Linked DNA regions of Drosophila melanogaster. The protein of the gene in region 1 interacts with the protein of each later gene in a pairwise test. Each region holds a gene or a part of one and is shown on either strand. Other genes may lie near its edges. The genes, in order: Rap1, eIF5, Usp15-31 and rau.

Region 1 (5,615 bases):
ACCAGGAATCGGAGGCGAGTCCCCCAGTATAGCACTTTGCTTAGCCCAAAACCTAGTCATGAAGCGGAACTCGAGCCACTTATTGTACAGTAATAGAAACTACCACGTAACTCTGTCTTAAAATTCACTTTCTACATTTTAACTGCTGGCGAGCGATTCGCCGGCTTCTACGAAAAGCATGCATTATGATTGTATATCTCAACCCGCGAATCTCTCGGAACTTGCATACCATATCAGCTGTGGATACAATGCGGTTTTACTACTCCTACGCCCCAACTTAACTCCGAATCGATCCTATCGCAGATCTTACGCTGGATTAACATGCGTGCTATAAACTAGCAGAATATTATAATTATAAAGACGAGCTATTTGATTGTAATTGTATATGTATAAATATTTGAATAACAACCTTATATAACTATTCCAAGTATCAAATACAGATATTTCAAAACTTCAATGCAATCGTCTTGTCTTTAACTTCTGAATGAACTATGCTAAGAATAAGGCATACGCTCCACAAATGAATTTATTTAATTTTTATTTTGTTTTTGCATTTCCTTTTTAATTTTTTATAAACATAATACATTTATTAATAATTAAAAGATGCTCGATCATGTCGACCTACTGCGTCGCGAATTCGGGACTGCCAGGATTCTGAGATCAGAGGCTCTGTGTGGGGTCCCAAAAACGCGACCAGTAGGGAAACAAGTTCGAAAAAATGGTTTTTCAATTACATTTTTCACACGCTCATTATTACATTATGTTATTGTAACGGTTGGTTTGTTTGTTGTTTATTATGTTCAAAAATGATTTGTATCTTTATCATATATTTAATATATACGCTTGGGCTTAGGTTTTATTTAGTTTACTTTTAATGTTGGTTGTTGGCTGTGTTTAGACTTTGATTTAAGGGCATATTGGTTACTACTCGTACGCGAAGTTTATGCAATGTTTATTATGAAATATTTGTAAATTACTTCGTTTTTAGGTTTCTTTTCATTTTGGGATTGACACGACAGTTTAGTTTGTGTTAAACCATTTCTTATGTATTAAATATTCTAGAATTTGTGGCTCTCTCTGCACTTCCTGCTCCTCTTCTTTTTACCAGGAAGCGGAAATGAGCCTTGGCCGCAGGAGCCTCTTGTCTCGATTCCGCTTCCGTTTTCGTGTAGCTTTTTCGCTCTCTGAGAGCGCGCCGGAAATGTGTAGGTGTGTTTGTGTGTGTGAGTTCTGGTTGCGAATGTGTGTGTGTGTGTGTGGGATGTGGCTGGTATGTGTGTGTTTGGGGGGGGGGGTTCAGATTTGATGCAACTGATCGTGGTAAACAATTAATTGTAAATTTGTTTTAAACTAATTTCTAAGGGGGAGGGGGCTCATTACTTCTGGTTGTTTGCAACATTTTGACATCATTTGCATACAATATTTTTATAAAATATGTTCCTTATTCATGATTCATTTCCTTTCTCGATTTATTTGCTCATTTCTCTCGTGGAATTTGTTATCTTTATCTTTTAGGCGTACAATTTAGTTTAGCTTAATTTGATTTGTGTTTCGAATGTTGTTTTCGGTTCTATTTAAAGATATACTTGTTGTTGGTTGGGCTTTCGCGTGTATAAGTAGTTGTAGTTGTAGATGTGTAGAGTACAATCGAAAAGAATCAATAAATACGAATGTTTTAGTTTACGAATGTTTCACTTGTTGCATAATTTAAAAAACGGCTCAAAAACGAACGACAAATATATTTAAATATGTAGATATATATATATAATAATTCCCCATATGAATTAATGGTTAATCAGCGAAAAATAGTACAATCATAATAGTAGTAAATGGTAATAATTACAAAAACTTGAAACAGTTAAAAACATTTGTCAGTTTAAGTTTTGCTTGTATATAGTAGATTGGTTATTTCAATTCGACAATTGCCATCGGATCCAAAACGAAACGAGAACGAAAAAAATTTGAAAATTCTTTACTTTACGCTTATACTTTTGCTCCTCTCTCCTCCTCCTCTGTTATATATTTTTTTTTTTGTTTTTTTAGTTTTGGTGGTTTTTGGAAGTCTTATAGCAGAACACATAGGGACTTTTTCGGCTTCTTCTGTTTCTTCTCGGGCGACTTCTTGTTGATCTGCCGGACCAGGTCGTAGAAAATATCGTTCACATTCACTTTGGCTTTGGCTGAGGTCTCCATGAAGGCGCAGTTGAACTGGGTGGCCAGGTTCTTGCCCAGCTCCTTGCCGACGACGCGCTCCTCTTCGAGGTCGCACTTGTTGCCCACGAGCACCATGGGCACATCGTCCGTGTCCTTCACCCGGAGTATCTGCTCGCGCAGGTCCTGCAGATCGTTAAACGTCGATTGCGCCGTGATCGAGTAGACCAGCACGAATCCCTGGCCGTTCTTCATGTACAAATCCCGCATGGCCGTGAACTGCTCCGTACCCGCCGTGTCCAGGATCTCCAGCATGCACTGCTGTCCGTCCACCTCCACCTGCTTCCTGTAACTGTCCTCGATGGTGGGATCGTACTTCTCCACGAAGATGCACTGGACAAACTGGACTGTCAGCGCGGATTTGCCCACGCCGCCGCTTCCAAGGACCACGATTTTGTACTCACGCATGCTGGCTGCTGTGCTGTTTGTATATCCTTCGTATATCTCTTGTTTTGTGCTAAATTCTAGGGAAGAGACCCAAAATGCAGGTAGGCCAGGTAGGTGGGTTCACTTTCCAGGTGGCTCTCCCTCGAAAATCACTTGTTTTTAGGCGTTGTTCGGCGATTGCTTGTCGGTTGCAGTTGTTTTTTGTTTTTGTTTTTTTTTGTTGCTCTTGCTTATTAGTTAATATATGTTTTATATTTAAAGTAAATTGTTTGTTGTTGTTGCTTTTGCTGTTGATAACCTTTGTGCCGTGTAAGTGACTGCGTGAGTGTGTGTGTGTTAGTGTGTGTGAATGTGTGATGGTGTTTGTGCTCCCTCTCTCGCTCGCTCCTTCCGCCGAGTTGCGTGCGTTCAATTGTTGCTTTTTTGAGCGGAAATATCCTGGCTTGACTGTTCCTCGAGACGGCCGTCACTGCTACCGAGAGCACACTGTGGGGGGAGTAAGAAGAAAGGCGCTTTTTAGACACAATAAACGCTAAATTCTTTGCGAGTCTTTTTGGTTTGCGTTTTTTGGTATGCTGAGAACTGACTGCACTCCCTCTTTTCTTCTTCACAACTCTCTCGTTCTCGTTCTCGCTCTAATGATTCATTTTCAGGGTTGCCAGGCGGCCGCACCGAACGCAGCGCCCCACTGCAACGCCTCAAGCCGGAGATTCCCTTAAATTTCACTCAGCTCTCTCACTTAAAATGCACTTAAATTGCACACTGGGCACCCATGTGCGTACATCGGCCTACCGAACGGCCACTAAACAACTGAACCACGCAAATGCACCCGCATGTCGGGCGGCAGGGCAACTCTGGGCGGAGTTTTACCTATGCTTTTCACTCGCTGCCGCCAACTGCTTGCTCCTTGGGGACCGCTTCACCTGTCGCCGCTCGCGAATCGCTTCACTTTTAATTTAACACTAGTTTGCCTTGTAATTTCTTTACTTTTTCGCCCTCAGCGAACAGCGAACACTCAAAGACTAGGGCTGCCAAAGCATCGATGGCACTATCGGCACTCGCAGGCCGAGGGCTACGCACGACTATCGCAATGGCTTAGCGATGACACTTTTAAAGCATTGCTGTAAATTTTAAAAATAAACTATAAAATTTATATTCGAAATATATTTGATTCTTTTAAATTTATATTAGCACATCAAATTTTGGAAATATTTAAATTGTTATTTTCCCTATATATTTTTTTTTAATTTTAATTTTGTTAATACGATTTCATATTGAAATTGTTTTCTACAGTAAGTGATATTTTATGGTATTCCTATTTTATTTTTTAAGCATAATTTGCAAATAATATATAAGCTGTGTTGCCGATAGTTTAAGAAAAAATTCTAATGCTTGATTGTTTCATGAATCAGCAATATGATTCGCATTCAGAATTTTAGTCAGCCGCATATTCACATTTTCGAGATACAGTTTTGAATCATAGAATTTATCATAAGGAAAATAATTACAATTTATACAAAAATTGCAATATCACGTTTTTGGAATATTATTGTAGGGGTCATAATATTCCAAAAACGTGATATTGCAATTTATGTATAAATTGTAATTATATTCCTTATGATTAATTCAATGATAATAAATATAATAATTTCTTAAAGTGATTAATTCCATGAAAAACACACTCCACTTTAAGATACCGCTAAAATGGTCAGACCGAAATCTCTTCCAATGCTTCAGCGTCTTTTCGATTTAATCAATTCATATAAACTATGTATATTTAGGAAATCAACAAAAGTTAATATCTAACTAAAATTTCGTACAAAATCCAGCGCGGTCATCGACCTAGCGGATCTTGGTGACCATTCCGGCGGCAATGGTGACTCCCGCCACGCGAAGCATCACGCGTCCCAGCTCCTTGAAGTCCGCATACCGCTCGATGCAGATGGGTCTGCTGGTTTCCAGTTCCACTAGGGCACACGAGTTGTTGCCCAGGCAACGCGGCTTCTTCTTGACCACCTCGCCGGTGCTCTTGTGAATCGATGCGGTCAGCTTGCAGACCACGGCGGGCTCTATTAGGGATTGGTGGTGCAGCAGCACGGGGAAGCCCATGGTAATGGGCACCTTGACGTTGAACACGATTATGCGGGCCTGGAATCGCGTTGTCACCGGAATAGGGGTTTGTGGATCGCTGATGATGCAGCCCACGGTGACGTTGTTGATGTCCAAGGCGGGCAGGGTGACGGAGACCTGATCGCCGGCGAACACGCAAGTCTGTGGGAATTCGTTCATGGTAAGGGATTTCACTTGGGCCTGCTCCCGGCTGGCACCCACCAGCACCTTGTCGTTCAGGCACAGCACTCCGGTTTCCACTCGTCCCGAGATGCAGAATCCGGAGCCAGTGCCCTTGTAAATGTCCGACACGGACATTCGCAGCGGTCTGTCGATGGCTCTTTCGGGGATCTTGAAGTTCTCAATGACATCGAGGAGGTGGCGTCCACTGTACCAGTTGGTCAGGGCGGGTTCCTGGGCTTTCTTGGTGAGGTTCTCGCCGGTTAGTCCGGAACAGGGCGTAAAACTCACATCGGAATCCTTGAAGCCCGCCAGTTTGAGGAAGGACTTTAGCTTGGTCACAATCTCTGTGAATCGGTCCTGGGACCAGCCAACGGTGTCCAGCTTGTTGATGACCACGCCTAGCTGGTTAACCCCCAGGGATCGCACTAGAATGGCGTGCTCTCTAGTCTGTCCGCCGAGCTCAAAGCCGGATTCAAACTCTCCCCTTGTAGCATCCACCACCAGAAGGGCAACATCCGCCTGTGTGGCACCGGAGATCATGTTCGGAATGAAGTCCTTGTGCCCCGGAGCATCCAGCAGTGTGACGATCTTGGTCTTGGTTTCGATACGCGACTGGCCCACGTCCATGGTGATGCCGCGGGCCCGCTCCTCGCCCGTCTCGTCCAGCACCCAGGCATACATGAAGCTCTGCTTGCCCAGCTTCTTGGACTCCTGCTCGTGCTTGT
Region 2 (7,446 bases), on another chromosome or scaffold:
AGTGACCACTCCGCAACGGAGGACTGTTTGGTGCCGAACGGAGAGTAGCCCTTCTTGGGCAGATTTTGGGCCACTTCGGCAACTGGAAGCGTTTGTTGTTGGCGCACCAGGGCCAAATTCAGAGCGGGCAGCGCCGAAATCGACGCATTCGGTGTCTGAGTCGCCTTTTGGAGAGCCCGGGACAGGGTCGATGACATCATCGCCGAACGCAGCATGTTGATCCTGCTAAAGTAAATCTGTAGTTATACTAGGACTGGGCATTTAAACATTTAATACCTATTTATGTAACTTCAACTTATTTCGATTTATAGGGGATGCGTATGATGTGACCGCCGCCGAACTACTAACTAAAATACCAAATGCACCAGGAAAATATACTATAAAATACGAATTTACTTTAGATATCCTATTCTCACACAAGCACATCACTTGCGGCAGCATGAACTTTATGCCCTTTTCCCACATGAACGCAATGGTTGGCTAAAAAAATCAACTTGCTTGAAGGTCATAGCTTAAGCTGACCAAAAGGCAAGTAAAAAAGTAGTTATTAATGTTTTTGTTTGCTTTATTTTGTAATATGTTGGTGTAATTCTATTGTTACAGCGGCTTGGGAAATGTTATGCAAACAATTGAATGGTAGTAAAGCGACGACTCAAAATACGATTAGCACTCTTAAGAACTAAAGATAAAAAAAACCACATGTTGATTTAACTCGCTAATTTATATTTCAGTTTGAATTGTAGATTATGCTTGCTCGCTTGATTTTCCCCCTTTTAAAATATTACTGGTTGGATTAGGGTAGCTGTTCTCTTTTTGATTCCTTTTAGATATCGTCGATGTTCACGTCGTCCTCGTCATCCTCGTCGCCTGCAACAGCGCGTGGAATTCCGCGTTGGACGACCCGTTGACCGCCACGTTGGCCGGCACTGGAAACGTAGTTATCCTCCTCGGATTCATCGTCCTCCTCCTCCTCACTTTCGGAGGACTCTTCCTCGGCATTCTTCAGCCAGAGAACGAATGGCATAGCTTTCTCGTGTATTTCGGCAGCAATATTTTTCGAGACATGTCGTTTGCTAACCTTCTGTGCCCACTCCAGTATGACGGCCTCATCGAGTATGTCCAGATCATAAAACAATTTGAAGATTCCAGCAACCTTGCTCATCAATATACCCTTATGCAGCTCTACAGTTTGCTCCACTCCACCAATTAGATAGCGCTGTGCTTTTGGATTATTGAGGGTGAAGCGAAGAAGCAAAGGGCGATTCTTCTGCACGTCCTTGATGATGTTTTCAGTGAAAAGCAGCTCGGCGAGAACCAATGGAGCCTTGTTAATAATATCCAAGCGTTCGGCTTCAATCACCAGCTCCTTGTGAGTTTGCACATCATCCAATTGCTTCTTGTCCCGCTTGTCCTTAACCAACTCGTAGAAAATATCAATGCGCTCCTTTTCAGTTTTATCATAGTCATCCGAAATAGTCATACCCTTAGCACCATCAGTCAGATCTTGCAAACGAGCACGAATAGCCTCCTACCGGGGTGGAGTAGTAATATACATATGAATAGCTCTTTAAGCTAATTGCGAGTATATACGGATTAAACAACGTACCTTCGAAACATCGACACTCCATCCCTCATCGTCGTCATCCTTGGCTGTTTTCTCCGGAATAGCTGCGCTAATCTCGGCCTCAGTTTGGCTAGCCTGATTTGTGCCGTTGCCGCCATCTGATTCACCGCCAGAGTTGTTGGCCAAAGAGTTATTGGTCATGGAGCCATCGGCGTTATCGTTCTTCTGCTTCTGTTTCCTCGAGCGTTTGCCCTCGGTTAGCGATGATCCTTGGGCGGCCGGATTCAATGACGGGGGGTTCTTCACAATGAATGTGTTCACTTTATGGTTAACCTTGAGCAGACCATGGAAGCCGCATGCCTTGCAAGACTGCGAAATGGTCTGGTTTTTGGCCGACACAGTTAAATTGGTCTCCGGATTGTCGCACTCGGGGCATAACACAAACTTGCGAATAAAACCATCCAACAAATCCTGCAACTTGTTCACATCATGCGATCCATTCACAACAAAGCGCTCATTCTGAATGAAATTAATAGTGATTAATGGGAGCATAGCTCATGGGTAACATAGGATATCTATCCGTGCACATACCTTGTGATCGAACAGCGTCTGGGCGCCCAGCTCGCAACCAAAGTACTTGGTTGGATAGGTGGCCGGGCGTCCGATGGCCCTAGCCACTTCCGCCATGTTGACCAGCACGGTCTTAATGCCGTTTCCTTTGCCCTCGACCTTTGCCTGCAGACGTGGCATCTTGTAGCGATAGAAGATGTCCGTCACACTGCGGTTTACGTTTACGGTGGCCATCTTGATAGGTTTTCGGCTCCACAGATAATGCTGATAATGGGTATTACTGTTGTTCGGGTAATGTTGCTACTGTTAGAGGTGGCCAGTGGTATCTATTGGTTATTGGTGGATGGGAAGTAATTGGCTTCAGGTTTTCTGCTAGTTTGTGATTGATCCAACTTTCGTTTCCGTTCATTAAATGTTCTTTTATTTTGAGTAGTTGCCGCTGCTGCTTACTTAACAAATGTATCCAGAATAAGCAGGAATTGGTGTCCTTCCGGAACGGCGAATTAATTGTGCTCTAATCAAACAACGGGTGTACTGAATATATTTGAAGAATCGGCCAGAATTGCTTGAGAGTAAGTTGTTTTTTTCTTCTTTTTTTTTTGCAAGGTTATGGCTTTGCTTTTATTTTGCTGAAGATTTTGTTTATTTTCGCCGTGGTAGGTATTCAGCTATTCTATTTTTTTCCGAATTCATATGAATAATTATATATACATATATATATACATATATATCTATATATATATTTGTATATTTATATATATATACATATATATATTTATTTATATTGTAAATTTACCAGTTTAAGTCTTTAAAAAATGGAGAAGGAGCAGGCTCATGTGTACCTGAATGGCTGTAACTTCCGATGTCTGTTACTCGAAGTCCTGCGAAGGCAAATATGAAATAGATTTGGTTAATCGAGTCGAATATGCAATGCTTATTACTTAATTATGCTAAGTTCTCTTTAAAAAAAAACCCACCGAAGTGCTGTTTCTACAGCGTATAATTTAATGCAATTTAGCACCACTTTCCCTTTGCTTGCAAATATAATCAATTCTTATCGGGTATTACAGTATTATGCATTTGGAGCCACATATGTGAGCCAAGGTAAAAAAGGCCCCTCGTATTAAACAGTAGCGAATTTAATTTGAATACCAGATTTTTTTATCGTAGAAACCCCGAGTGTGTGCATTGCAACAAAACGTCGTACGACTTGAATCAGCAATACTTAATGGTCTGGTCATCAGTGATTTGTGCTTACCGGTGATTTTTGGTTCGCCCTTTTGAATTCATGCACAGCTCGAACCCTTTACTCCGTTTTTTCTCAATGAGAAGTGTGGTTTTTTTTGCTGGTGTTTCTGAAAAATACAAATATAAAACGAAATGTAATTGCATTTAACGCACACGTTGGAAGCCAATAAAACTGCATTCGAATTGGAATTTGTACGGGACCTTATTGTATATTTGATGTTGCTTGAAACGTCAAAGCAAAAGTAATTGGAATCATTTAAAAACATAACACTGATTTGCACTATTTCGTGTTGCTGAGAGCCAAAAAAAAACTTATGGAACTGCTGGGTCTTAAAGCAGGGTCAATTTTAAAAGAAAAACATTCAGCAAATGGGTTAAGAGGTCGAGCGAGTATAAACTATTTTATTGTTTTGTTGTATCTTAGATATTAACTTTTGCAACCGGAAAATGACACTGAGAATTTCGTTAGGACCCCCCCTTGAATATATTCGTGTGTTTTCCCAACTAAATTGACGAATGTGACAAACATTTCAGTACGATTGTGATTCTTGTTCCCAACAGCCAATTATTAGCTAACTATGAGTAATTCTTTTATGTTACTCAAGGTCTGCCCTTTTATTATGTTTTATACGAGATTCTTGGGTAATATTAATAATAATAATATTATTTATTGGAATATAACGAAATTCAACGAATAAAGCTTGTCAAAGCACTTTTCAAGTGAATGGGTGTGTTACTAAATTATAAAACGAATCGCAGACATTATTTATTGCCCGATTATCGGTTTTCTATAGAACAGATGGCTTTAGAAATATCACGAAATGAAGTGAAGTCTGATCTGAAACTATGCATTTATTTATACGAAGTCTAAATCTTAATAGGTTTATATCTTATATAAACATATGCCATAATTCAGAAGATAAAGCATAATAAGCCACACAAATAAAATAAGAGAATGCAGTTGAATTCGCTGGATAACTTCTTTTTGCCTTTTACTTGTATCGCAATAGAAGTTTCTGGAATTCCTTTTTCAGAAACCATTGTATCCTTGCTTTTTTTTCGGTTGTGGGAGAAGGAAATGTGTTGGCTGCTTATTTTTAAGCTTATTTTTAATGTTAAAGTAACCTTGGATGGATCCGGATCTTGGTTAGTAGTAAGACATTATACAGTGGTCGGGATAAATATGTGTCTTAGATACAAATCGATTCAATGGGTTGTTGATGATTAACTATTACTTACCACCGTATCTTTCAAAAGTCATATAAGATTTTGTTTCCCCTCCTTTGGGGTGCGCAATGCCAGTTCGCAAATTAGACAAAGATATCGTACTCTCGGGTATTCTTTGTGAAGTCAATCGCAAATTGACTTGGAAAATATATATGGATAAATCAAAATCAAACAAATCGCACTGCCACGGGAAATCGATAACTTTTTTTTTTTTTGATAGCTCTGATTCCGTGCTAATATTGAAAAATATTAGTAACGCTTTTAACGCGCTTATGTATCGCAAAAATTGAAATTTTTGGTCTCTCAACTATTCTGCAAAGGGAAAGAAAATAAAATTAGGAATGCGCATGAACGAACATATGTATACCACTCCGTACTAAGTATTTCTTACATTACTTTAGTTTAGCTCAAATTTACTTATAATTTCGAAGGAAAAAGGTTAATTTAACATTCAAGTATATATATATTTTACATATATATCTTTTCCTATTACTTATGTATTCAGTACTTTTGTATAATGGCCATAAAAAACACTGTTGAAGCGTGATTTTTGTGTAAGCACGAAGTAAAGTAGCTTTATGCAGATATACACTAGACCCAACGTTACAAAAATTGTGGAAAACTGAATTATTTAGTATAGATATATATAAATGTACATTTTCATGCACGTATGCATTTACATATGGATGAAAGCCACGCCATTTAAACTTTTGAGGTTGTGTTCGTTTTGGTCACAATCACTTTTCAATACCTTTTCCACAAGTTTTCTATAAAGCGTTTCTGATCACAATGAAAGTAAATTAATAATTTTACTGAATTAACCGTTTAAGAAAAGATTTTCTCCGAAGTCCACGAACATACGACTAAACGTCACAGCACAATATGACCATAACGACTTTAGTGGGCTGCAGCCTATCACTATCGATTGGCCGAATATGATGTGAATGAATTTTAGCCTTTTCACACTTTCACTTTTATATAATTTATATGGTATTTATTAAAATGAAGATATGTAATAATACGCTTAAAAACGAAAGACCATTTTTAAAAATGAAGTTGACTAAAATAGAAACAAATATATGTGTTATATAATTAAACGTAGTTCCAATCAGCCTTTTAAAATATATGTTATAAGAGTGGATCATCTGTATTTCTTCTATATTCCAATACCAATATACCACATTTTTTGTAGAGGATATCTTATTTATTTTATTGAAAAAATGTTTAAAATATTATTTCAAGAGCCACATTTTAAATAGTATCGATACCCAACTCGCAGTGAGTAAGCACTAGAATGTAACTACGGGTAAGATATCGATTGTCCACGTTTTCACTAGCAAATATAAATTGCATTTTATGGAATACTTATCGATATTCTTACAGTACTGGAAAACTTTTTCATATCGATTTATTTTTCTGCGTATACAGAACGTACTTTCGTTTCATTGTTGTCCAAAAAAGATAATAATATTATATACTTGCGGTTATTTACAACTGCAAGTAATGTGTCACTAATTTTTAGTGAAAATAACACAAAATACGACTTGTACGGCAAATAAGTATACGAGGCAATCACGATAAATAAAAAACCGTGAGTATGGAATTTCAAGTGGACGCTTCTCAATACTTACATGCACATATATCGATGTGTGGATATGTACATACACCTTGTTATAAACAGTTTAAATCTTTTCTGACGTAATAAAATCTCAAGAATGTACATGTAAAACCAACAAAATGTTTTCAAACTGCATTCAAATTAATGCTTAACCATAACCTTGTGTGTATGTAAATATAAACTTGGCAGGTTGATTTTTTTTTACCATTCTGCTGGCACTAAACATACGTACAAGTGTATGTATGTGATGCACTCGGCGTCATTTATCTGTACATGTGTAAAATGTAACGTTACCTGTGGTACACAGCAATAAATAAATAGAAATAAGTTCATAAATAGTTCGGGTAACTGCCCAGCTTCGTGCTACGCATCTGAGATACTTTTTCACCCCCAAAAAGATATGCCGCTTCATGAGATTGCGACAGGTGGAGATTATTGCATTTCCAATAGGATACCAAAATGTCTTTTCACTTTTGCTCAAATGTCTGGGGGATTATTTTGTGGTGGGGTTTGTGGGTTTAATGGCTTTGTTGGTATCTCTTCTATAGATATGATGAATTTTGTAGCAAAAGATTTAATTGGTGTATTTGTTTTCAGTTTGTTAAGTATACATTAACTCAAGTTTTTACTACATTTTTAAGGGTTTCAAACTTATGTTTTTATATAAAAAAGAAATATTTATTAAATAATAAAACACTAAAAAATCGAATTGGTAGAAAAAATATTGGGTTATTTCCTTTTTTCTTGCATGATTTTAATATTTGATGTTTAATATTATTACAGAAACTTGGATTTGTAGCTTGCTTTGTGTTGCGGCACCATGGAGGACCCCAATCGCATGTTGGCCCACACCGGCGGCATGATGGCTCCGCAAGGATACGGCTTGTCTGGCCAGGATGATGGCCAGAATGCCGGCAGCGAGAACGAGGTGCGCAAGCAGAAGGACATCGGCGAGATATTGCAACAGATAATGAGTATCTCGGAGCAATCACTTGACGAGGCCCAGGCCAGAAAACATACACTAAACTGTCACCGAATGAAGCCGGCACTTTTCTCTGTACTTTGCGAAATCAAGGAGAAGACCGGTAAGCTTAAAACCCTATATTTATCTCTCATTCAAGACCATCAAATAAGTTGAAATGGTATTATGGATTTTGTGATTTGCTTGTGATACAATTGATTTACTAAATCAAACACAATTCTTAACGTAATAGTCTTA
Region 3 (4,631 bases), on another chromosome or scaffold:
TTGGTTTATAGTTTCGAGTGCCCACTGTACATATCCTGGTGTTGTGTGCTGTTTTTTTTCGCTTCTCCCCGGCGCTTTCATTTTTTATTGATAAGTTCATTTAATGGGCATGGGCCTCGCCAGCTGCCATCTCATCTTCACTCTCTGTCACTGCCACTCCCCACTCACTCGGCTCACTCAGCCCCCTTTAGTCCACTCAGCACGCCCACACGACTGTCTCCTAATGAGTTTAATGCTTTGTTATCATCGCTGTAATCGGCTTATGTAATATGGCAATATAATTGAATCCCGCGAAATTATGTCATTCGGCCAGGACTAAGAAGAACCGCCTAAGACTAAGGCAGCGCCGAGTTTCGAGTGGCGGATGGAGTTTACAATTGCAAATTAGCAAATTGGCAATGCCAGTCCAGATCCAATGGCTCCAACGCAGCACCTGCTCCGAAATCATAAAGGAAATGTGTGTGTCGACTTGGGGAAGCCACTTTCACTCAGCGACCAAATGAAACTTAACGGAAAAGAAAATTACATCATGCTCGTTTCAATGGGTCGACATAATATTATTTTCCTGCCCCAGTGGGTCCTCGGCTGGTAGTCAATTTTTTATTTATTTATTTTATGCCTACGCACATACGCGCCTGCGGAAAGAAAGTGGGAGAAGGTGGAAGAAACTGCCAGAAAGTGGGAGGAACTGGGGTCCTGACAGGTGTCGCCGACTGAGTGGCTGTCTGACAGACTCGCAGAAGTGGGCGTGGCTCGTCGGCGTGGGCGGGGTGGTGAAAAATGGTGGCCTATTATTCTTTGTATTGTTTTATGTGGCATTTATACGCGTATTTTTGTCGTCTTGTATTTGGAAGGGCGAGTACGCAAGAACGGCGAACCCCGCGAGTGGAAAATAACAAAGGCAATAGACCAGCCGCCCAGGCTGGAGGGCAACGGCTTCTCCGCCACACATCGCCATCCAATCAGTAGATAAATAACACATAAAATGAGGTGCTTAATCGGGTTTGAAGTGATGAAAGTGAAACTGAACCGTCCGTCCACATTCGTCCTTGTCGCCGGCGGCGATGGCTTTGTCACCGTCGTAAATCTAGAGTATCACTGGTGTTTGAATATCATTTGCCAACGCCGAAATTCACAGAGTGGCGTTCCTTTGAGCCCGGCGGCATAATTCCACCTTAAATAGCACGCGTACTAAAGTAATTTATCAGCATTGCTGGCATAAATTAGGTTTTCCAAAATAGTTGATTAGCAAATCAAAATAAGACATCTAAAATGTGTTCGAATATGGAGTACATTATTTGAAATGACCGCACATAATCTACCTATCGATTTCCGCCGGTATTTTATGTAAACGTGCTATCACTTATCGATAAGTAATCGGGTATAATATAAGAGCAAGACCTATATAAGTCACTATCAAGTGCTTGAGAATAACTTACAATTTAGCACACCTCTAAGCATACATTTGAAAGCACTCTTAATTCGCTTAAAAAATTGCATTAATGTAATTACGATACGTAATTTATAAAAACCGTTTTTGAAAACGAGCACTTGTCGCGTTGCCAACCATTGCCAAACCGCTACCAAGAAAAAATGTTCACACTAACAGAAAACATCGATAGCGATTTGTGTATAACCAGCAAAACGGGAAACAGTCACACTCGACACATCGAAGGTATTTTTGAACAGCCAGAAACAATCACACTCTTGTTTGTTAATAATACTAGCGGACTCGCGGCCCCAAGATAGAAAACGGTTCGATCGCGCGACCATCGACCAGCCAATTTTTTTCGCTGCAAATCCGACGCCGCCCGAAAAAGTGAAAGTATTTGCATGTGAGAGGTGGAAAAGAGTCGCGGAGTGGGTCAGCGAGCAAGAAGAAGAGCCAGCGGTGCTCGAAAAGAGGGGTGGGGGCAGACACAAAAACGAGAAACCGTGAGGCGAAAATCGGAAAAGTGCAATAACGAGGCCGCGAAATCTCTGCTAAAAGGTCAATTTCCACTCGCGATAGTTTTAGCCATTAGTTAAGTAGTACAGTACGTCCCGCGTCCGTGCAATTCATACGTTAATACCAATTTATATGTGACCGAAATCTGAGAGTGTTTAGTGTGCGCGAGAGAGCGAGACAGCGAGAGCAAGAACAGCATGGGTACAACAAAGGAGCGAAGAGAGCAAAGCGAGGGCGACGCCGCCACCACCCACTTAACAACAACAGCAACAGCAACAACAGGAGCAATAGTAGCAGCAGGAGTTACTACTACGCTGCCAGCTACAAAAACAACAACCACAGCGGCAGACACGAGCACGACGAATGCCGCCAAAAAGATTCGCCGCACCTTCTCCATGCCACGCAATCCCTTCCGCTGGACGCGTAAGTTCAAAACGGCAGTGGCCGTTACGTCGTCCGCGGGAGCGGAAAACGATAACGAAAGCGGCAAGAATAACGGGGCCAGGGAGCGGCGTGGCAGCCACACGGCGATCTCGTCCTGCGTGGGAGGTGGGCGTGGCAGGAGCGGGAGCATTGTGTCGCTCAGCAGCTACGAGGCCCCATTCATTTCGTCCACCAACAACAACACAACCACCGCCAGCAATGGAAACAACAACAACAGTAGCAGTAGCAACATCAACAGCAAGCGGACACGTGCTCTGCGCCGTTCGTCCTTCAGGAAGTTTCTCAACCGGATCGCCCAGCACCTGAGCTCAACGGTTAATGTCGTGGTAAGCGCGGAAAAGTGTGGAAAGCTATATATATCAAATAGCAAATGTTTCACAATGTATCTTACGATACATAATAGATACATTCTATTACTATTACTCATCAAAACATATCATGGTGCCCTTGGTCTCTTATTGTGAGTAATTGAACGGTTTTCTTATTTATACGGCACAATAATTTATAAATCTAGGGTAACTAAGGAACAGTGGGCTAATCACTGCAGTTTTTTCTATCTGGCTATTTACCTCTCTGGATGGTTACTTCCTTTAACTAAGGCATTACTTAGTTAATTACATTCAAATGAAAATATCTAATACGAACTGTTTAGCTGCGATTAATGAGGGCGCATAAACGAAACTCATATATGTATGTAGTTCCCCCTAGTATACCTTTCCTTCTTCGCTTTGTTTGCGCGCTGCTTAGAGCGCATCTTCTAGTTTCTAAAAAACCCCCCTTCCCCACCCCCTCATTCCGCACTTAGTAGTGCCACAATGCCCCTTATCAGGAGTCCAGCCGTACTTTCATAAAAGGCATCTTCGCTTAGTGCGTTATCGGCTGCTTTGTTTTGCTCCCGCTGCTCTTTGTCTACGGCGGACGCATAGCATCTTCATCTGCATCTGGATGCGAGTGGCTCTGATTTGGCACCGTTCTGGTATTCTGGTATTCTGGTGCTGGTTCTAGGTCTTTTGTGCCGCAAAGAGTCGCCTCCCACCGGGTCAAGAATGGGCACGAATCGCCCCTTGCAACGTTTCTGTTTCGTATCGCTTCGTTTGCCCAGCTTTTTGTTTTGCTACCCGTGCTGAGTCACAATTTGCGTGACCAATGATAAGGAAGTCGAGCCGTGTTGTGTATATCAGTCCAAAATGCGGCTTATTGGGACTTTGGCTCGCTGCTCCTCCTCCAGGGAGTTTCGGTATGTTAATCTATATGGTAGCTCCAGTCTTTGTTCACACATTCCGTTCGGCGGATAAAAAGCCTTTGTTTACACAACTATAAATACATCGGATTCCGCTTTTTTGAAGTGTATCTCCAATGTTCTACGCTCTTCAGCGGCAATTTACGATTACCATACGCGAGGACGGCGCATGGAAATTAATTTTATTTTTAAACAATTGCTGTCTCATTATTATCATAATTTTTGTTGTGCCTTCGAGTGGCTGCAGCGGGGTTCCGGGGGTCTGTAACTAGGTGTAGGTGGGCGCCTTTTGTTTCGCAGACAGCAATTGTTCAAACAATTTTGTGTAAATGTTGCCAACATTTGTTGCTCCGTTCGGGCTATAATAAACAAACAAGCAAACACACACACACACTTACACACAGTCCGAAAAACAAGAGTTTTTCAGGTCGTGAGCTGCTGGAGCGAGACACCACTTAATGACGGACCGGGTGGTGAACCGGGGATCGGGAACTCCGGCGAGGGAGCACGACTACCATCCTATGTGTGCCACGCTTCTGTCGGAGAAGACAGCTCCACAAAGTGTGGAAAGCGACAAGTGAAGAGCCGAAGACAAGTGCAGGGCGCAATGACACACGCCAGTGGCCCGATCCCCTCCAGAAAGCGATAACGCTGCAACTAGAGGCTGCTGGAATTGAATTTGATCTAATAATACTCACATTGTGCGCCCCAGTGTGTGCGTATCAATTTGTAAACAGTGCAACTTAGCGTCTCGTGTTTTCTGGCTCCTGACACTTTAGCCGAGTAATATAATGCTCAAGTATATCGACTTATTATGTCGAATAAACAAATATTTCCAAGCTCACTCAACATTCAACTTCAAGTCGTAATCCGATTATAGAAAGCTGAAATCTGTGTATGTTTTTGATTGATTTGAATGGAACGATCCGTTGCCAGAGGCTTTACTGTGACTGTACAAGTTTAATTAATTGTTGAGGGCAGACCTTATGGCCGTAGTGC
Region 4 (4,695 bases), on another chromosome or scaffold:
GCTGAAAGCCAAATCAATACGGAATCACTTAACACACAAATTCCCCAATGCCTAATCGTTTCGAATTATACATTGTAGTGCTAGAGAAAACCAGATGCCATAAGGCGTTATAATTGTTTTACGCCACCATATCTCACAGGTTGCCGTGCGCAAACAAACAGTTAACAGGCTTTGTGTACCTTGGTTTTTTGTTAATTAATTGTTAACAAAACGAAGTGTCAACAAAAAAAAATATCAACCGAGAGCGGCTGAGAGAAAAACCACGAGTAAAAGCGCCAACTTCCAGTTTTTTGCTGACTTTGTGCCATCATTTATATTAAAGAAGTCGTATATTATTTTTTCATTTCGCTGCTGAACTTGTTTATTGAATTTACCATTTTGAAGCCGCTGACTCAGTACGATTTTCGCTGTAATTTAGCCGAGTTAGCGAGAAACGTTAAACGAGGCTGCAGTGCATAATATATAACCGAAAAAAACCCCCGATTCGGGCCAGCATTCATTTCAATTGAATTTTGAATATTTCGGAATGCTAAGCTCCAACATCAAATTGTGTTGCCAACGCTCGAATAAATTGTAAATCAATTTAAGAATCAACAAGAGAATGTACGACTTCGGGTGTGAAATAAAATAAAATAGCTTAGGAAAATTGCAGTAAAATAAATTGTTTTATTTTATAGCCGGAATAATTTAGAGTAGAACTTTTACATATATGTACGCAAAAATCCGGTTAGCGCACATTTATGTCGATTGACAAATGCTATTGTCTTTTTATTGCCAGTGCGGGTGTGTCTTTGGTTAGATGAAGAAACAATAGACTTGAATGTACATAACTGTATATGGAAGTCAAGCAACTTCCTCAAGCTATAAAGCCACGCATAAATTACCGAGGAAATTATACAAAATGGTTTGTTCAACCATTCACTGGAATGGAGCTCTTAAATACAAATATGATAGAAAATGGCTAAAAACTATAAAAGCGAATTGAGATGTTAGTGCCAAGATCTCCAGCGAAAGATAAACGATCCCTGATGCAGACCACCCTCGACTTCCTGCCATCGATTAATCAATAGAACTACTTCCTTTTAAAACGCCCCTCGCAAGTACTACGTGTGTGCAATGTGAAGACTAAATGAGGCGAATATCCTTTCATGGCTCACGTATCCAGCCCAATACAAGATACTTCTGTTAAGCACAGATTTGGTGGTACTACCTGTTCCGAAATCGAAGCAGAAGGCGCTAAACTGAAGGAAACCGCACTTGACAGTAGCACACGAGCAGGTAGGCCCAAAAAGGTAATCCCTCTCTCACGTAGTCTTCTGAAATTCAGGATGGGATCGCAGCACGTTGAGCCCTCTGGGGCGTATTGTACTCGTGCATTTCCTGATTTTTAATTAGCCAAATAGAACCTAACAAAGACAACAAGTTGGGCCAAACGGTCTGAGGCTACGTGCTTGGTATGTGAAATCTTTAGCCCCTCAGTGTCCACAGGAAAACAATGCTCCAGACCGAATACTCCTGTGTGCGAGAGGACAGGAAATTAATTCGATATCAATACTTTTCTGCGGTTGCGTTGAAAATTGCGAGAAAGTGATGGTAACCACCACCTCAGGCTAGCAATTTTATAATCAAAACCAACCGCTTTTGGACATCGGGATTTTCCCCACTCGTAATCATGGTTACACCGCCGTCTGGTGGACAATGCTAACTTATTATTGCAACTCCTCATTAGATGATATTATGTGGAATTGACATTAAGGAGTTTGACAATAAGCACAGCAAAGACAAATGAAATGATACACATGTGTATCCGATTGGGGGGCATTGTTAATCGAAAATCCCCAATGAGCATTGTTACCGAACTGAGTGATATCATTCATCTGAGCTTGAAACAACAGAGACGGATTTTCTCACAGAAATCTACAAGATATGCATCAAATCAAATGTTTGGTCGAGACCCAAAGTTTGTGTCATTCATAATCGGCCAACAAAGCAACTCGACTAATTAAGAGAGTCACTCGACCAAGAAATTTACATGAAATGTTTATGCATTTCCAAAATAGCTGGGAAGGTCTTATGTCCGCCTGTGTGGCCCTCTAATGGAAGTTTGAAATATTTGCATAAAAATTCAAAAAAATGCTGAGCAAATTGTCGAGTTGCAGATCCACGGATGTACACTTGTCGGAGGCCAAGAACCGGACAATGATGCTCAGCAATTCCGTATTTGCATTGTAATCCCCCTAGATGACCTCGGGAATGGAGGAAGTGACTGGCCAACAGCTTGGTTACCGTTGCGGGTTCAATCAACTCCTCTGGCCAGCGAAACTGTCTGGATCTAATCGCGCAATTCGATAATTGAGTGCAGGAGAGTGGGCTGTGAAAATTCTGGACTTTCGCCAAGGCGAGAAGAAACCCAATCGACCGAACTAGATCTCGTCTAGCAATCAAACTTTCTAGATGAAGAGCGAAAACTGGACCAGCGATCGGGCGCTTACCTTCTAGCGTATGATTTGTAGTATCCAAATGTGATTTGTGTGTAATCCCAAGACCTTAAGGCCCGAGACTTTGATGGATGGCGGTATAAGAAGTCCGGAGTGCGAAGACAAGACAAGGTCGCGTCGTTTTTCTTCGGCTGCCGCTTTTAGGGCCCTTTGGCTGCTTGGCATTAAGTTATCAAGCACTCTACGCCACTTCGCATTTCTTCGCGTATCCAAAGGTGCGTATGCGTACGTGCTCCCTGCTGGGGAAACAGGTGCACTCAGGAAGCAGCTGCACTGATTTTTATTTTAGCGTTGCACTTTGAGTTTCTATCCGAATTTGTTCACTTTTTGTACATATGTATATTCCTTTGGCTTTCGTACCAATTTTATTTTAGATCTGGACGCACATTCACTTTCGTTCGAATAGGCTCGCTACCGTTAGCCAGTTCACTAAGAATTGGAAATTTTCGAGCGGAGCTAATGTAGATTGAGTACCGCACTCGGCAGTGTTTACAGACGCACTGAAGCCGCACGGCTAGCGTCTGCGAGGTCTAACCCGCTGAGAGGAGTCGCATTCAGATACCTGTTTTGTATGTGTGTGTGAGCTGGCTCTCGCGCTCTCGCCTCTCTGCACTCAGAAAAAAACTATAGCTAGCTTGATCAGCGGAAAGCAACGCAGATACTTGCAGTTAGCAAGTTATTTAATAATTTGATAACTAATATTTAATTTTTTTAAGCTGACTATAAAATTCTCTCTCTTCTTATCTTCTACAGGGGACTTTAATTCAACTTGAAATGAGCCAAGCTGATCTGATACCATGTGAATAGTATGAATGTTAGGTGAATGGATTTTGGGAAAACGCAAATCGTTCATAATGGAGCCACTGGGGGTGTGGGTTGGCGCTTCGTGGGCGAGTGAGCGGGCGAACTAGTTCTGTCTGCGGCTCGCTCTTTTCGGAGAGAGGAAAACTGGTTTCCAATCAGACTTAGACTTTGCCGGCATGTGGGTTTCCTCATGGAAATCTGGGGATGGGGATTCGCGGTCGAGCGACGCCGGATGGGCTTGGGCAGAGCTACATAAATGACCAAAGTTGAAGGGCGAGGCACGGCTAGAGTTTACGGACTTGTAATAAATCAGGGAGTTTTCAAAGCAGAAGACTTTAGCTAGTAATCGTATGTATATATGTGTTCACGCTAGAACGGCATTAGTAGTTTATTTAGTTACTAAACAACAAGAAAATTCAAAAACTGTACTACCTTAACAGTTTCCACAACAATCAATATGAAGCTGATGCATTTTTAATAGGTAGACCTTAAGACTCCTTCTATAGTATTCGATTAACAGGATCGATTTTGTAACTTTAAGTCTGGCGAAACTAAATCCAGGAAATAAGCCCTGAACTTTGGCAGTATGTAAACTGAAAAGGTGAAAGAAAGTTCAACATTCAGGCGAGATATTCCATTCCGGCAAGTCGTAGATTGCTTCGGTTTGATGTTTTTTAGACCCCACAGAAACAACAAAGAAAAGCAAAAGTTTAAAAATTAATTATGACAAAGTCAAAAAGTCCAAAAATTATTAATGAAAGTGAAATTATCATCAGCGAAGCGAAAAACAAAAATAAATAACAGATTTTTTGTTGCTCGATAATTTGCGAATGAAAAGGAAGGAAAAAACCAACCAACTGATGCGCCAGTAAAATTCATTAGACTTTGATAGATGAACTTGATGAGTCGATGTCGCTGATGGACGACGGACTCGCAGAGTTGTGAAAATCTGAGCGAAAAATGCGGAACCAATTTTATTTGTTTGCTTTTTGAGAGTAATTTAATTAGTTGGAGCACGGCAAGTTATGTTTGCATGTGACCCGGGGCGGTCAATTAAGAATTCATGAATCAGGCCCTAATTAGAGGTCGCCGTTTAACAAATTGATACTGGTTTTGTATTCACATTGAAGCCGAAAGATCTGTTCGAAGGTGTTAATAAAGCCCAGTCAAATTGCTTGGCTCCTTAGAACATTCTCCGTTCTGACTGAAGGGTATCAAAGTTTGTCCTCGGGGCACAAAAAGTTACATCTTGTAGCTAAGTGGCATTCCTCTGACCAACGGTTAAATATTTGTGCAGCACTGTGCGGACATGAAAATGGTATCATAGCACGCTTTTCACACAGCCGTGTGAAAAGTACACACCAGCCCAGTTTGAGGGAGGGCAGCTCAGACT

The links.
Region 2: the proteins of Rap1 (region 1) and eIF5 interact in a two-hybrid assay, tested with the Drosophila melanogaster proteins (one large-scale study listed by BioGRID).
Region 3: the proteins of Rap1 (region 1) and Usp15-31 interact in a two-hybrid assay, tested with the Drosophila melanogaster proteins (one large-scale study listed by BioGRID).
Region 4: the proteins of Rap1 (region 1) and rau interact in a two-hybrid assay, tested with the Drosophila melanogaster proteins (one large-scale study listed by BioGRID).

The regions. Positions count from the first base shown.
Region 1 is NT_037436.4:1,858,593-1,864,207, forward strand, and holds Rap1 (Rap1 GTPase), read right to left. Parts: upstream 3,648-5,615; 5' UTR 3,469-3,647; exon of another isoform or gene 3,338-3,468; intron 3,225-3,337; exon of another isoform or gene 3,085-3,224; 5' UTR 2,620-3,084; coding exon 2,065-2,619; 3' UTR 523-2,064; downstream 1-522. Other genes in the region: HBS1, read right to left, coding at 4,441-5,615. UniProt on the Drosophila melanogaster protein: Ras proteins bind GDP/GTP and possess intrinsic GTPase activity. Plays a role in photoreceptor cell determination.
Region 2 is NC_004354.4:15,986,462-15,993,907, forward strand, and holds eIF5 (eukaryotic translation initiation factor 5), read right to left. Parts: upstream 5,514-7,446; 5' UTR 5,361-5,513; exon of another isoform or gene 5,290-5,360; intron 4,922-5,289; 5' UTR 4,644-4,921; coding exon of another isoform or gene 4,622-4,643; intron 3,847-4,621; exon of another isoform or gene 3,584-3,846; intron 3,490-3,583; coding exon of another isoform or gene 3,393-3,489; intron 3,016-3,392; coding exon of another isoform or gene 2,967-3,015; 5' UTR 2,931-2,966; exon of another isoform or gene 2,649-2,930; 5' UTR 2,369-2,648; coding exon 2,156-2,368; intron 2,084-2,155; coding exon 1,607-2,083; intron 1,529-1,606; coding exon 824-1,528; 3' UTR 547-823; downstream 1-546. Other genes in the region: ND-20 (NADH dehydrogenase (ubiquinone) 20 kDa subunit), read right to left, coding at 1-215; CG46312 (uncharacterized protein), read right to left, coding at 2,967-3,015, 3,393-3,489, 4,622-4,643; exd (extradenticle), read left to right, coding at 7,048-7,312. UniProt on the Drosophila melanogaster protein: Catalyzes the hydrolysis of GTP bound to the 40S ribosomal initiation complex (40S.mRNA.Met-tRNA[F].eIF-2.GTP) with the subsequent joining of a 60S ribosomal subunit resulting in the release of eIF-2 and the guanine nucleotide.
Region 3 is NT_033778.4:24,742,122-24,746,752, forward strand, and holds the start of Usp15-31 (ubiquitin specific protease 15/31), read left to right. Parts: upstream 1-1,627; 5' UTR 1,628-2,145; coding exon 2,146-2,718; intron 2,719-4,631.
Region 4 is NT_033779.5:5,876,496-5,881,190, forward strand, and holds the start of rau (rau), read right to left. Parts: upstream 3,004-4,695; 5' UTR 2,493-3,003; intron 1-2,492.